Bombyx mori: one gene and its partner. Each later gene encodes a partner of the first gene's protein in a complex. Links are inferred from orthologs where the notes say so. Each region holds a gene or a part of one and is shown on either strand. Other genes may lie near its edges.

What was found.
Region 2: the proteins of mRNA cap-binding protein eIF4E (region 1) and eukaryotic translation initiation factor 4 gamma 3 are in contact, whole or in part, in a crystal structure (PDB 5T48), measured with the Drosophila melanogaster proteins. The link is inferred for Bombyx mori from reciprocal best matches to the Drosophila melanogaster genes eIF4E1 and eIF4G1. Residues at the interface, in NP_001261626.1 of Drosophila melanogaster: Lys80, His81, Pro82, Leu83, Met84, Val113, Trp117, Tyr120, Asn121, Leu174, Asp175, Leu178, Ile181, Gly182, Glu183, Ala184; in NP_001137857.1 of Drosophila melanogaster: Tyr605, Trp610, Pro612, Lys619, Gln620, Tyr621, Arg623, Leu626, Leu627, Leu629, Arg630.

The regions. Positions count from the first base shown.
Region 1 is NC_085128.1:2,389,798-2,397,693, forward strand, and holds mRNA cap-binding protein eIF4E, read left to right. Parts: upstream 1-3,474; 5' UTR 3,475-3,881; coding exon 3,882-3,911; intron 3,912-4,203; coding exon 4,204-4,382; intron 4,383-5,031; coding exon 5,032-5,209; intron 5,210-5,695; coding exon 5,696-5,783; intron 5,784-6,822; coding exon 6,823-6,980; 3' UTR 6,981-7,378; downstream 7,379-7,896. Other genes in the region: spermine synthase, read right to left, coding at 182-268, 1,091-1,213, 1,722-1,830, 2,236-2,517. UniProt on the Drosophila melanogaster protein: Recognizes and binds the 7-methylguanosine (m7G)-containing mRNA cap during an early step in the initiation of protein synthesis and facilitates ribosome binding by inducing the unwinding of the mRNAs secondary structures.
Region 2 is NC_085107.1:10,291,947-10,299,351, forward strand, and holds part of eukaryotic translation initiation factor 4 gamma 3, read right to left. Parts: coding exon 7,132-7,405; intron 3,792-7,131; coding exon 3,405-3,791; intron 3,314-3,404; coding exon 3,020-3,313; intron 2,943-3,019; coding exon 2,812-2,942; intron 2,732-2,811; coding exon 2,581-2,731; intron 1,738-2,580; coding exon 1,568-1,737; intron 1-1,567.

The DNA of each region.
Region 1 (7,896 bases):
TTCCCGAGAGAGATTGCTCGTTGTAAAGCAATTTACTAAACTGTATAACCGGTAGTCATTTGCGAAATTGCAGTCCACGTCGTAGATTGAAACCCTTGATTTATTTTATCTGTGGAGTAAATTGGTAAGGAGTCTTTCACCATCACAGATCAGCCATATACATTATGTATTCCAAACTTACCGAGTATGACAATTTCCTTTCCTTCATAATTCTCCTTGTTTCTCTGCATCAAAGTTTCAGTGTAAATTAGATCAGCTTCTGAGATATCTATAAATAAATAAAAGTGTAAACTTTTTTAACACACTATGGCATTTTAAAATTTAATTAATTAAGTCGATTTAATCTATTTAATTATTCATTTCCGTGAGAGACAAATCATGCCCCAATATTACGCAATATCAAGGGTGGATCAAATTATGAGAAGGGTTGAGAACAAATCTAAATAAGGATTAAGCTAGGGGAATCATTTTTTGAGATTTTATCAAGTTATTGACAACAAGTCCCCAACAGTCCAATAACTGTTCGTAAAAATGAGTTAGCAAATATATTTGTACAAAACAAGAAAAGGAAATAAAAAAAATAAAATTATAAACAGAAGAATACAAAATTTATGGAGAATTCAATATATGGGAATTTAGTATGGATTTTGATTATGATGGGATGATTATCATATTGAGATTGGAATTGTATTTAAATTTATTTTTTAGAAACTATCCTGTAATTTCATTTGATTTGGTCCTTCCCACAATCTTGATTTTGTCTAGCAGTTTAAGAAACAATGAATATAGGAGTGGGTTCCCACTAAAGCCACTTTTCCATTTTATTTTTGGGAATAAGTTTACATCTATAAATATTTATCATATTTTAGTTGTTGTTTTCGTCTGGACTTTTTTAAGTTAACTTGTGTGACACCGGAATTTCCTTCCAGTCCATTAAAAAAAACCACTGGCCAATTTTTTATGGGGTCACTTTTAAATAAACCAGACAGCTGTTTTAAGCAAAGCAATCTAATCACTTTACAGAGATTAATCAATTTTACTAATGCAAAAATTTTACTGTACACAATTTTAAAAAGTCAATTACACTTACTTTGTAAATCATCCAGCACTAACATGTTTCCTAATGACTTAGAATGAACAATTTGAACTCTTTGGAATGGAGATTCTTGATCAAATACAACTTCATCAATATCATATTCGAGGAGACGTCCATCTATAGATTTAAAATTCATAAGATAAAAAAAATATTTATGTGCCATTTAAAGTAATGCTATAAGGCTTCTTCATTGTCTTTCTGTGGTGGTGGCATTTTGTCTTTTCCTTCCTTATTTCTACCTAACTTTAAATCTGAGCACTAGACTCTGGCCTGTTGTGAGGTGGTACCATTTTCCTATTGAGAAGCAATTGTGTATTATGGTCTAAAGCAGTTATCCAGTAAGATAGCAGTTTTCAGGTAAAATCGAACCTCATACCAAGGTTATTGATTAATACCAGGTGGGCTTTGAAGTTATCAGGAGGAACTAAAGATTTTCTCGTTATGTACTCATAGTATCTTTGTTAGATTTTTAAGGAGGGTTATTTAAGGAACATAATATTGAAATTTTTTAATTTTTTTAGAAATTGAGAGCTTGCATGCACTGCTAGAAATGAATGAGTAGGAGGTATCAAAAATTATGAACGACCTGAAATTAATCAATAGAAAATTAGTGCCATTTACATACCTGAACTAGGATAATATCTACCAAACAAACATCTCTTTAGTGGAATATATGTTTGTGACTTTATACTAGAAATATATTTTTTAATTTTGCTTTCAAGTTCTTTGGCAGTCTGTGAACAAAATTGCAGATTATATTTTTATTGTTTTCAGGATTCTTTGAATGAGTTAATTGCAAATAAGTTGCCCGGTAGAGGTATAACTTCCATTAAATTAATAACTGTCCTCTACATTAAAATAAGCAAGATAGTATTACAACGACTTTGAAGGCTTGCAAATTTTTATGCAATTAAGGTAGTCCATAAAAAAATTGGTCCTTCAGTTAATGCTTAATTTTTTTTAAATTAAAATCTTAGTATTTTTAACAATGCATAGAAAAGATCATATGATAAAATGGTTAAACTATTTTTAGTACTTCTTATTTTTTCTACCGAGTTTCGCAAAGACTTTACAATAATAATATAATGTGCCAAAATAAAATAATAGCACTCAATACATTCAATCGATATAATCCTCACCTTGTGATCGATCACGGACTCCTCATTTCCGCCCTTGTAAAATTCAATATTTAAAGTAATGAAACCTCGGTCAAACATCCTAACGGATACAGTCGTTCCTTTATTACCGGTTAATAATTTCAATGAACCATCTTCCAATTTTATGTCGGTGGCTAGGATCAAATTTGGTATATATTCTTTTAATAGAGTTTCCAATTGTCCAAAGATATCTTTTTGGCCGTTTTCATCTTCCAGACGGGCCGCTTCAATCGAGAAATCCAATAAGATATTGTGAACTGACATTTTACAGTGATGTATTAAATTTTGTTTTGTTACTGTATAATCTAATTATTAACCGTCGATTAAGCCGGCAAACCAGACGACGCACACGGAGTTTTGAAACCGATCAATAATGTGAATTGCATAGATTATACACTTTGGTGAATTGTGAATTACAAATTACAATTTTATTATGAATTTATTTCCGGTCTGTGCTCGCATAGGGTTGTGCATGCCTTTTTGGCGGGAACTCGAGAAGTGAAGTTGTGTGATTTGTTTTATTTTGTCTATTTAGTGTTTCTTCAGGTGTAAATGTGTAATAACGGTGATTTATTAACTGTTTAGTATCTGAGAAAGTGCACAAATGTGGGAAAATGAAACAAAGCCGCTGAACGTAGCTTCTCGGGATCCTCCAAAAAGTCCACTGAAAAAGTCTCAGTAAATGATCACCATTTTACTGAGGTTATATTTCATCTCATTTCGTTTCATTTTCATTTCATTTCATTTGACTCCATATTATCATTTTTCATAAACATAAGAAAATAAATTAAAATAAGACTTAATGGTCTTAGTTACCAGGTCATAAAATCCCTTTAAAAAAAGAGGTTGTGCATAGATAAGGATATCATACGATGATTTCTATTAGCTAGTTCTAAATAGAGGTCAGCAGCGAAACAACTTTTCACAGCTATGCTTTGGTATATTGCTGGTAAGACAGGTGGCTACTCTGCTCAAAAGTTTTCGAATGGCAATCGCACGCTGTAAGGCGCATTGTGGGTAGGCCTTTCACAACGGTTCGAAGGACCGACCTGGTGAAGGTCACGAGATCTGCTCGACTGGTCACTGTAGCCAACTTCGGAAAAGGCCTGTGTTTATAAGGTGATGATGGAAATGCCGTGATTTAATATTTTCCATTTGCCCAAAACACGTCATTTCGGATCCTCGCGATCCACTATCGGTGCTTTTAGGCACCCCCCAGTACTGGTGACCATTCTCGTCACTCCTCTCGAATGCGACGAAGGGTTCGGCGAGCAAATTAACCCTGAGTTAATCAGCCCACTGAGTTTCTCGCCGAATCTTCTCAGTGGGTCGTGTTTCCGATCTGGTGGTAGATACTGCGAAGCACTGTTCTTAATAGGGCTAGTGTTAGCAAATTCACCAGGCTTAGCCCCGTGAACTCGCCTACTCGCTTCGTGAAGCTGGTATAATCCCATGAGATCACCAACATAGGTAGACAAAAAAATGACACCCTTAAATAAATCTAGACCATGATTAGCGCACATCCACTTTATAAAATAATAAATAATTTACGCGATTTCTGATTTGGCAACCCCGTTGACTCTGTCGCTCCTTTTCGTAGGAAATTTGCATCGTTATCCTCTCAAGATATGGCTGGAAATACTACAGAAGAAGTAGAGGTGGGTAGATGTAATTATTAAGAAAACAAAGTAATTTTCTACCTCGTTTTGCCGGTTATACAATCGTAAAACCTATAATTTTGCCGCAATTTGCTGATGTGGCTTCGTTAACTTTCACTGTTACATTTGTTAGCATAATTGTCTAGTTTTCAAGTATAAATTATAACTTTACCTCGCTCGAGTGGTTTTCTGTGTAAAAATATTCCGGATTAAGTCGTTAAACGACTTCTACGAAAATAACAATATTTTTTTTAGGTTAGGTTCACTAATAAAAATGACCTGTGTTTTTAAGGGGTCTACTACCACTGAAACGAAGACCAACAGTAACGCGGAGGTGCCCCCTGAATTTTTGATCAAGCACCCGTTACAAAACCAGTGGAGTCTCTGGTTTTACGACAATGACCGAAACAAAACATGGGAGGAGAATCTTATTGAGTTGACTACATTCGACACAGTTGAAGACTTTTGGAGGTAAAGGAAAATGCCGGTTACAGAAGTAAATTATAAATTTCATACATTTTAGAAGTACATTCATGCAACTTCTATACATTTGCAACCTAGATGAGAAAGTAAATTCTGATGGAACCTGAACTTAAACAGAATTAATTTTGCTCAAGATTAAACTAGAACACTTTCTTATAGAGCTAATTATTACGTATCTATTATAATTAATGTGATTAGTTGTCGATTTAATCATCTGTTCTTTTATTTACTTGTTATATTTTCTATAATAATAATGTATCTAACATGTAGAATGGAGTGATGGATGCCATAGGTCCATGACATATTTCCCTTTCGCGCACCAATACATCAAGTATGTTCAAAAAATCATTGAGGGGTTTTTGCACAAAAAACTTTTAAGAAATACATCAAAAATAATGAGTGACTTATGGAACCAGTGACTACTCATTGCTTACTGATAGATGTCAAATGGCAGATACAATGTGTCTGTCGTAGCCCCCTGTGCTAAACATGGTTTCTATTTTTGTCAACATGTATTCATTCATTAATTCTATAGATTCATTCCATTATAATAAGAAAATGCCAAAAATTACTCTGAGTAGTCAATTTAGTAATTAGTAGGTTTTTATTTAAGCAAAACTGTTATTGCACATTACAGATTGTACCATCATATTAAGCTACCGTCAGAACTTCGCCAAGGTCATGACTATGCAGTATTCAAGCAAGGCATTCGTCCTATGTGGGAAGACGATGCTAACAAGATGGGAGGAAGATGGCTTATCAGTCTTGAGAAAAAACAACGCTTTACTGATTTAGATAGGTTCTGGTTAGATGTGGTATGTTAAACTTTTTTATTATATACCGTTTTAGAATACTTCTTTTTTGAGTATCAAGTTTGACATAATGAAAGGAAAAGATTTTCTAAAAATATGACAAGTTTTTCTGAGCACATGTTTGTGAGTGAATATTAGCTTGATTGCACTATCCCATGTTTATAAACATTTAATAAGATGTTGTAGCTTATTTAAGATCATTGGTTTCTAAGAAACCACAAATCATGCCTCAAATAGTTAAGGCTGCCCACTCAAATCCTGTTGAATATTAGAATACAGTTACAGATAGAAACTGTATTGTAGGAAGGAGATGAAGGATCATCTCCTATCTCATTACCTACAAGCTGTATGCTTGGCTCTATGTTCTGTTGATCTTTGTTTGAAGTAATGTGGATGTGTGGAAGGATGTGACCAGTAAGCACCTACAACAAGGAACCAGAGATGTGTGTGAGATGCATTAAAATTGAAGATATTGTATTTAATTTTCAGGTTCTTCTTTTAATTGGTGAAAATTTCGAGAATTCAGATGAGATTTGTGGTGCTGTTGTTAATGTCAGACCAAAAGTAGATAAAATTGGTAAGTTTCAAAATAAAAATCTTCATTTTCTTAGTGAAATTACATAACATTCTAAGTTCTATGAATATCTAGAGGGTTTTGTTGTGTTCTTGTTAACATGAATAATAAGTAATGACATTAGCCAAGGTCATGTTGGAAAACGAGCCAAACACTAACAGAGCATCTGTTAAACAAACATAATTAGTAAATGCACAACTCACATTATAGAATTATCTAAAGTGATTTGTGAATTTAAATTGTATTATACTATGCACAAATATAAATAAATTAAACTATCTGCTGTACTGTGTTCTCTAATTATATATGCAGTAGTGCATATAATTATCTTATTATCTATGAGCACGTACAATACTGAAGTATCAAAGGAAACTGTTTATCATCACAATATGTATTAGTTTAATTTGTTTAGCTTGTAATTGATAATGATTAAAACATTATGGATCCTTATAAACCCTAAAATATCTGTAGTGCAGAGGAATAAATAAAAAAATATACAGACTGAAAGATAAAATTCATCTGAATTTGTCTCATGTCTCTTTGTTGTAGGCTTTTATACAATTACAATAATGAGAGTTTATGAGAGTCTTCGAGGTCATCTTAGTGAAAATTAGTCAAAATTAAATGTGTATTATCTTAAATGATTTATCATTTATCTTATCACATACTTATCTCCTTATGCTATATTTCATCAGAATGGGGTATGGATATTTGCACTGCCGGGGATTCCTGACATAATAACATCTAACAATGTAAATAATGTTTTATGCACAGAATTCAGTTTTAAAAACACAATTTTAAATACCCTTGCATGACACAAGGATGTTTTCCAGAGATGGTTGTTTACATAAAATGATTGTACTTGATCAAGAGTCATTTGTGATATCTTAGCAAACAAATAATGTTGGTGGACAAATAATCTGGTTGTGGTGAAGTAGAAAATAACATTACTATTTCATCTCTTCCTGCATAGTGCACTATTTTTAGTAACTTTAATTTCTCTAAATTAAACATTTCAATTTGTTAATATTTGTTTCAACAGCTATTTGGACAGCTGATGCAATGAAGCAGCATGCGACTATTGAAATTGGGAAAAAACTGAAAGAACAGCTAGGGATACACGGCAAGATTGGTTTCCAAGTACACAGAGACACAATGGTTAAGCATAGTTCTGCGACCAAGAATCTATACACTGTTTAGTTTTGGCATTACATATCTTGTTTGTATCTGCAGATTTATGGGACGGACTGTATTTAATTGAAGTAGTTTAACTTAATGGAATAAAATATATTCAGTACATCCCATAAACTGAATTTACGTAACTACAATAATAGTATAAAATTATATTTAACAGAAGTAGTATTTGTTTAGTTTTTATAGTCGTATTTATCTTACATTGTGACATGATATAGTCCTCGTGAGCTGTAGAATGTTAAAAGTCTGATTTTGTACTAAACTCAAGCTCGAGTGTCGGTATGTAAGGTCACATAGTTGTAAGTGGTTAAGTACGCTACCCGCGATGTTGGAAGATTATGAAATTATCGTGAGGAAACTGGTATAATATGTTTAACACTCATGTTGATGTTTGCACGCTTTTGTATTGTATGCGTTTAACATACACTTAATTGTTTTTTTTTCTTAAAATGTTTAAAATTATAAGTTCACAACACTGGTTTATTATCTGTGCTGAAATTTTGGTATTTATAAAAAAGTACTAAAATGAATGTAGTTTTATTTTTATATTATTTTTAATTACTTTTTTACATTAACATATTTTTTTTGGACACGATCACAATGGACTTGTATGTACCGACGTAAATTATTGTGGTAATATAGCCTTATTGATGTTCAATGCTGCAATTTCTCAATAACGCGGAAGTAAGCAGCAGTAGTGGTAGCTGTGTTGCCAACTGAGTGGAATTTCCACTAGATCTGGCGGTTTAGACTCACTTTTTAGCGGACAAATTCGGATATTAGTGGCTAGTGGTTTTTTCTAGTGTCTTTTGTTGTTTCAGTCAGTGGTGAGGTACGAAACTTAACCATTAGCACAATTTACATATTAATTCAGAAATCTCGAATTAATTGGCAAATTGACAGATTTGATTGATACACTAAT
Region 2 (7,405 bases), on another chromosome or scaffold:
GTTAATTAGTTTTATGTAAATGAATAAAACATATAATTTCATTATATAAGTTAAAATAAACTCAAGGAAGTTATGGTATTACTGGATAAGCTATTTATTATATGATTAGTGGCTTGTGAATATCCTAAAAGTTTCATGTGAATGCAATTTTTTGGCACATATCTTCTTTAGTCAGCCATGACATTTTTATGTGTGACAATTGCAAATGTTACTGAGATGTTAATACTAAAAGTAATTAAACAAGTAGCATGCATAAATGGTATTTTACAGGCCATGTTTTAATTTTTTTTTAAACATGTCATATGAGTCGACTATTATCAAAGCCGGCAATGTGACTTTTGGATAATTATTGGTAAATCAGAAAAACGAATTATTGACTTTATATTCCATTGGTAGTCACAAAACTCTTCTGAACGACATCTTAGATAAATAACAGGTTAAGTATTAACCTTTATTTAATGCAGGTTTTGAACAGTATTCTTTGAAGGAGACGATTATATTCAAATCTGTATTGAAATATCAATAATTTTTTTTTGTCCAAATGCACAGATTGCCACCTTTGATCATAGACGACTCATATATACTTACATAGAGCTCTACAATATACTTACATAGAGCTTTACAGGTCAATAAACATAATAACAATTTTCATAAAACATTTAGCAACCCATTTTCGGTTATGCTTATGGCATTGTAGATTATGTTTGATATTTAAATATATTTGTATAACTTTTATTTTAATATTAAAATAATACAACATGAAAAGGACACTTATTTTTTTTAGACAATACTGCAAAACATTAGTGCCAATTTTGACCACATGCAAAAGGAGTATTATCTGGTTTAGCTCAGAAAGGTGACAGTGACAAAAAATAGTATTACATTCATATAATAAAGAAACTAGGGGACATAGGCACCAAGTGTCTTACGGGCCAACAAGTTACCAACTTCTCAATAGAAAGGCTGTTCTCAAAAGTGGGTTTGGGCTGTGATAATGTTCAACTGTAGGTGTGCTAACATTCTTTAAAATTATAATTCCTCAAAGATTACATTCAAAAGTACTCAAATTGTAAATACACTATGGTATAATACTAATAAAAGAATCAATAACAACCCTGCCATAATAAAAGTAAACCTTAAAAACGTCAACCTGTCAAAGTTTGGAATATCATTGAAACAACCTTGCTAAGCCTTGTAATTGACCAAATTATAACAAGAATTAGATAGAAGAGCGCCTCAAGATCTACTGTATATTAATAAAATTTGACATGTCACTAAAATTATGCACACAATGCTTATGAATTTTTCAAAATCCCTGTTCAAAGTCCCAGTACAGACCACAGTATTTTATAAAAACACATTCATATGGTCACAGTGGAACTAGAATATTCAAAGTCAGTTATTAAAAACTTCATTTGATCATGTAGAAATGACGGTTTTTTCTTTAGATATAAGTAATAAAAAAAAGAAAACCTCGATTGAAGTTAGGCTAATAAAATTAAAAAAAGGTATTTGATTAGTGCATTATTAAATTTCCATAATATGTGAATTGGTGACTAATTAATACCTGCGTTTTCACTTCTTCTTCATCTGCATTTTCTGCTCTAACATATCTAGTAGGTCGCCAAGCAGAATCAGACTCATTTAATTTCACATCATCATTTAGACAAACATGAATAACAGGTTTGTGGGGATTGCTACCACTAGCTGTAGCAGGTAATTTCATGCTTCCACGTCCTATAAAAATGTTTCCTTCGTTAATTTGTATTTAGTTTCAACAAAGACTAGGCTTTTAACGGAGGATACACACCAAGCGAATGAATACAAATAATTACATACTAGTGGATGTCGCATTTCGCCAATAGATACAAAACATTTTTTTTCCGGGAGTTTTGTGATTAAATCACACAGCATCATGATAAAAACATGAAAGTTATGTGTTTTCCCATATTCATCACTATTGTTTTCAATCTTATTATTACAAAATATATTTTAACATTAATTAGTTTGCTTTCAATTATTTTGAAAAGACATGCTGTAGAGCTCACCGCATCTAATGATCTTGACAATGTTTAACAAGCTCACTGTGAAAGTGGCTACTAAAACACATAAACATCACCATATTTGCCACAATCCACATCAGAACATGAGGTCAGTCTCAATGATATTGTATCACGGTTGTCCCAACCTTCAAATTAGAATACATGTCAGCTTTGCGGCATAGATAGGATAATATACCTACTATTGCTGTATGCTTAGAATACAATGACCAAGAAATACACAATGTTTACTAATTTTAAAAGTAAGATTTTATTACATATTCTTTCTGGAATTCTTTGTGAAAATATTTAAGACATGTTCTCTTTTAAAAATTCATAGCCTACAGATTTGAACCCAATTAGTTCCTCATTACTGGATACAAATACTGTAAGAGAACTGGTGCTATCCCTTAGATCAGACTACAAAAATTATGAATTCGCTACTGCTAAATTGTCCAAACGTATGGATTTTAATTTGTTTGTATTTGATTCTCTTCATTCGCTTAGTATGTATTCAGCATAATTATTTTAAATAACTTACCACTTGGTGTCATATTTCTACCTTCTCTCTTTATATCACGAGGAGTATTGCTTCTTGAACCCAAGCCAGAACTCTTACCAAAGGGGAAGAAATTATCACTTGATGGTCTTGAAATATTAGCAAAAGGCAGGGGTTCCAACATTGGTGTAGTCTGTGTAAAAACGTGTGTCATCAAGTTATGTGATAGTTTGCATTTGATGCCTTTTCATGAATACTCTGAAAATTACTTACTCGTATGACATTGCAAGCTTCCAACAACGGAGCCTCTGGTTTGTTTTTGGACAGAGGATCTTCCTTTATTTGTTTCAAAAAATCAATATCATAACATTTCTTTCCAGATTTATTCAGAGGAGACCATTGATCTAAAAATTAATGAATTTGTGGTCAATGCATTAATTAGTTTTCACTAAATTCATTATTAGTGAAGAGAATTACTGACCTTCACTATACTTGTATTTAGGAATAAATACAGGTTGTGCTGGTGGAGCCTCAATTTTCTCAGTTGTTGGTTTAGCTTCAGACTCCTCATTCAAGGTGTCTTCTATATTAACTACTTTATCAGTCTCATCTTTACCATTTTCATAGGACTCTGATTCTTTGTTATTATTGGCCATTTTCTTTGATTTTTTGTTATTATTCTTTTGATTTTTTAAGGCTTTATCATTTTTATTCAGGTCTTCTTTAGTAGTTTCGCTTAAAGGTTCAGTAGTATTTCCATTAGCTTTGTCAGGATCTGTTAATAAAGTTAACATATTATTTAGATTACACATATCCTACAATTTAATTATTGGCTAGATTAGCAGAAATAAAATTAATTTACATACCTGTAGCCTTACTATTAAGATTAATATCTTTCATTTTACAGTCAGATTGTTGTTGGACCCGTAAAACACTTGATATACTTTGGGTCAACTTTGTCTGAGCATCAAATGCACTGGATGTTTCTTTGTTATCAAGTTCAGAGCCTGGTATTTTAATAATATTTTCAAAACTTGATAAAGGCTCTTGAGTTATTTTAGGATTAGTATTATCAATGTGAGTCTTCGTTTTATTCGTTAACACCTCAGTTTTAGGTTCAACAACTGTAGTTTCAGTTTCTTGGTTGATAATTTTATTAACAATTTCTATGTTTTTCGTTGATTCTTCACTTATAATTTTTTGACTAGTTGGAGGGTTGGTAGTATTTGATAAACTATCAACTGAACTAATCACTGCAAAATGTGTTTTAATGTCAATATTAGAAGTACTACTAGCACAACTTTGTTACTGTTTATAACAAATTTAGATTAAAATTACAATTACAGTTTTTGCTAATAATAGGCATATTACAGCTTAGTAACCTAGTGGTATAAGGAGAAGACAACTTAGGGCATAAGTGGTATGGATCTTACTGGAACTTGTGGACACTTCAATCAAGGCTACAGTGCCTACTTATAATATGTCATATCACATTTGTAGAGCATTAGAATAGTAGAGAGAATTTTCTGTTTACAACATAAAACATCTAGGGAAACACTAGCTTGGCCTTTGTAAAACTTCGAAACATTTATCAATCACAAACAGTGTAAATATAATAATATAAATAATCTAATTAAATTTTTTTTTTATGTTAAATATTATACAACAAAAATATACTTTTTATTTACTTTGCCATTTTTGATTTCTATAAATTACAATTAGATCGTTTTCTTGCTAAAAAGTACATAGTGACAGTTTAAAAGACCACATGTTGATTTTTTTTAAATCTGTTACCTGTTAGTTTCTAATTTTATTAGTATCCATGGTGTGTTAGTGGTCAAACTTTAAATTATTTAGTTGTACTGTTGCATTTGAATTTAAATTTTCTATTTCAAAAGTAGACATACGAAACCAACTTCTTTTAAAAGCACGAAAGTGATCAAACAGGAATAAGCGATTACTTTCAATTCGTCTGACAAAATGGAGGTTACTTGTAAATCAAAGTTAAATGACACACTTATATGTATACTAATACGAAAGCTGTCAATATTACGTGGTCGTTATTGAGGCGGTGGATACAGGATCAAGTATCTAAAATAACGCCGAAAGCTAATGTATATGATAATAAGTTCACGTCTATTTTATTTTGAGTAGTTTAGACATGCAAAATATGAAAACGTTAAATAAAATGGCAGAAAGCTTTTGCAGTTGATTTCGCATATCTCGCATATCACTTTTAAAGAAGCAAGTACCTATTCTAAAAATAGAGACGTGAGGTATTTCCACGTGGGAGTTTCTTGCACTGTACCTGAATATCAGACTTCGCTATGTGGCACTGACAGTTAAATTATATCACAGCTCCTAGATCCTTAAATCATTTACTAAAACTTCACTGAATTAGGATACGTAACGATAACGTAGCAATATGGTAAATGAAAGTATCCAAAAGGTCACTCAAGGATCTAGAATGTCTGACTTTTAACACTCTTAACACTTGTAGTATATATTTTTTTTAGTACTTAGTTTGAAATGTTACTCAAAATGTTAAATTAACCCGAATAAGTTGGCCGAAGATTGATTTACTTATGTTTTAAAATTTATAAAAGGCAGCCATACTCAACGTGACTGTGAAGTAAAGGCCGCCATATTGAATTGCTTCAATTTGCTTCCATGCGGCAAAAGAATTATGCAGCTAGTGCTGTGCGCAAGTTCGTAGGAATCGATTCAGCTCGAAACCACGTGATGATCGAATAAGTAGATAATTTTAATAAATTTACTTATGTCGAGTCTATAGTTAAGTATAAGTTATAGTTAGCCAATGTTTCAATATCTTGTAATACAAACTAAATTATGTTTTTACTGTTTTGACGATCTTAGTATTTGTAAAAATAAATCAATAAATCTATTTACATATTTCGTTTTTAAACAGTATCTATACTTCTTAATCGATTTACGAACTTCTTAAAATCTCTACTAATTTAATAAGATTGTGAACCAATCAATTAACTATGTATGAACTGACATTCACTGCTAATGTAAAACGCTAGATAGAAAGTAAAAAGTTTAGATGAGGTATTAATTCTCAGTTTCATGAAATTAATATTTAATGTTTTATTGACATGATTATAAAGTGTGAAGATTTAAACTCGATAGCTAAAATCAATCGCACAGACGTCGATGGTTTAATCGATAACTCAGATTAAATCAAGTATCAATCACTACAGTTGGTTGAAACCTTGATATGACATCTGACAACAACTGTCAGTATGACATTTCGTCTATTGTTGTTCGGTCTTTCCTCTGTAGCCATAGTAGAACACCTATGATTTCAAACTTAAATGTCTTCTAATTTTAGTTGTTATAACTCTAAGATCAAATAGTTGTTAGTGATAGACTATTGATAGATAATTTTGATCAAATTTCACCACATTACATAACGCTTATTTTAATGATCAATCTTGAAATATTATGTACTATTAGTTTGTACATATTTTTTAGGAGATAGCTAAATTGTTATTTATTCTATTAACCCATTCAAAAAGGAGATTAATAATTGTTCAATTATATCAAGCTTTCGCAATCGCTTTAGTAGCAATAAATTTAAATGCATGTTTTTTCCCCAACCTATTAACAGGTAGCCTAAGATGCTATTAAGTACCTAGTATGTATGTAGCCAGTCATATATTTTAGTCATATCATAGTCATATCTCTTATATAAGTGTTAAATTGATGTGATTCATGATTTTTGTACTAAAAGGGTAAAATGAAAAATAAGAGTTTCACAACCGGCAAGTATGTTACCTCAAATAACCATAGAGTACTTGGAAACTAATAGCATTTCACTTTGTGTGTACTTTTAATTTTATCTTCATAAATAATATAAATTATCATTATTTTACATAACTACAGAAAGATTAAATATTTTGTGTCACATTAATTCATTACTGTGGTTAAATTTAATGTGTCTATCAATAGCAAGATCTGTCTCCCTACTATCTCTACTAATCTCCAACATACTACAACATAATACATTATTTTGGAAATTAACTACTGTATCAATCAATTACTGAACACTAATATCACAGTTCCACTGCCTCTATTTCCCCACATTATCTACAATCAGATTAAAACTTAATTTAAAGTGTTAGCATACTGGATCATACCCCTCCCCCATAATAAATATTTTTTGTTTGACATATTTTTAGGTGTAAAGTTTGCTTAGCTTATGGGTGCTCTATAAAATAGAGCACCCATAAGCTAAGCAAACTTTACAGCTACAAAATTCAAGTCTAGGCTCAGGTGTCAAGTTTTAGATCTTATATTTTAGGGGTTCAGCAAACAATTACTTAACAGTTTGACTATTATGATCTTGTTTTTTTGTAATTCTTTTTGGGATTTATTACTCGTATTTTTTTCTTAAGCAGTTGAGACTATTTTGAGCATCATTAGTAGCATACCTGGTTTGAAACCTTTTCACCTATCATTTGTTAATTCGACTACTATTTTATTCTATTGTAAGCGACATGAGGAATAATGAATGTTAAAAGAATAAAACTTTACAATCTATAGTAGTATATAATAATATGTACTCACCTAAAGATGCAGGGCCATTAGATCTAATGGTTGTGAACGAAGTTTCTTTTTCTAAATTAGTTGTGTCGTATTCAATTCTTTCTTGTTCTTCAGATTTCAATCGTTCTTTAGTTTCTCGTATTATTTGATTTTGTGGAGTATTTAAATAGGAGGGACACATTCCTTGTGTATTTGTAGGAGTAACAATAGTCTGAGAATGCGCTGGGACGGTTACAGGCGTGAGTATTGACATTACAGGAGCAACTGCTTGAACAGGCGCATTATGGTGGACTCC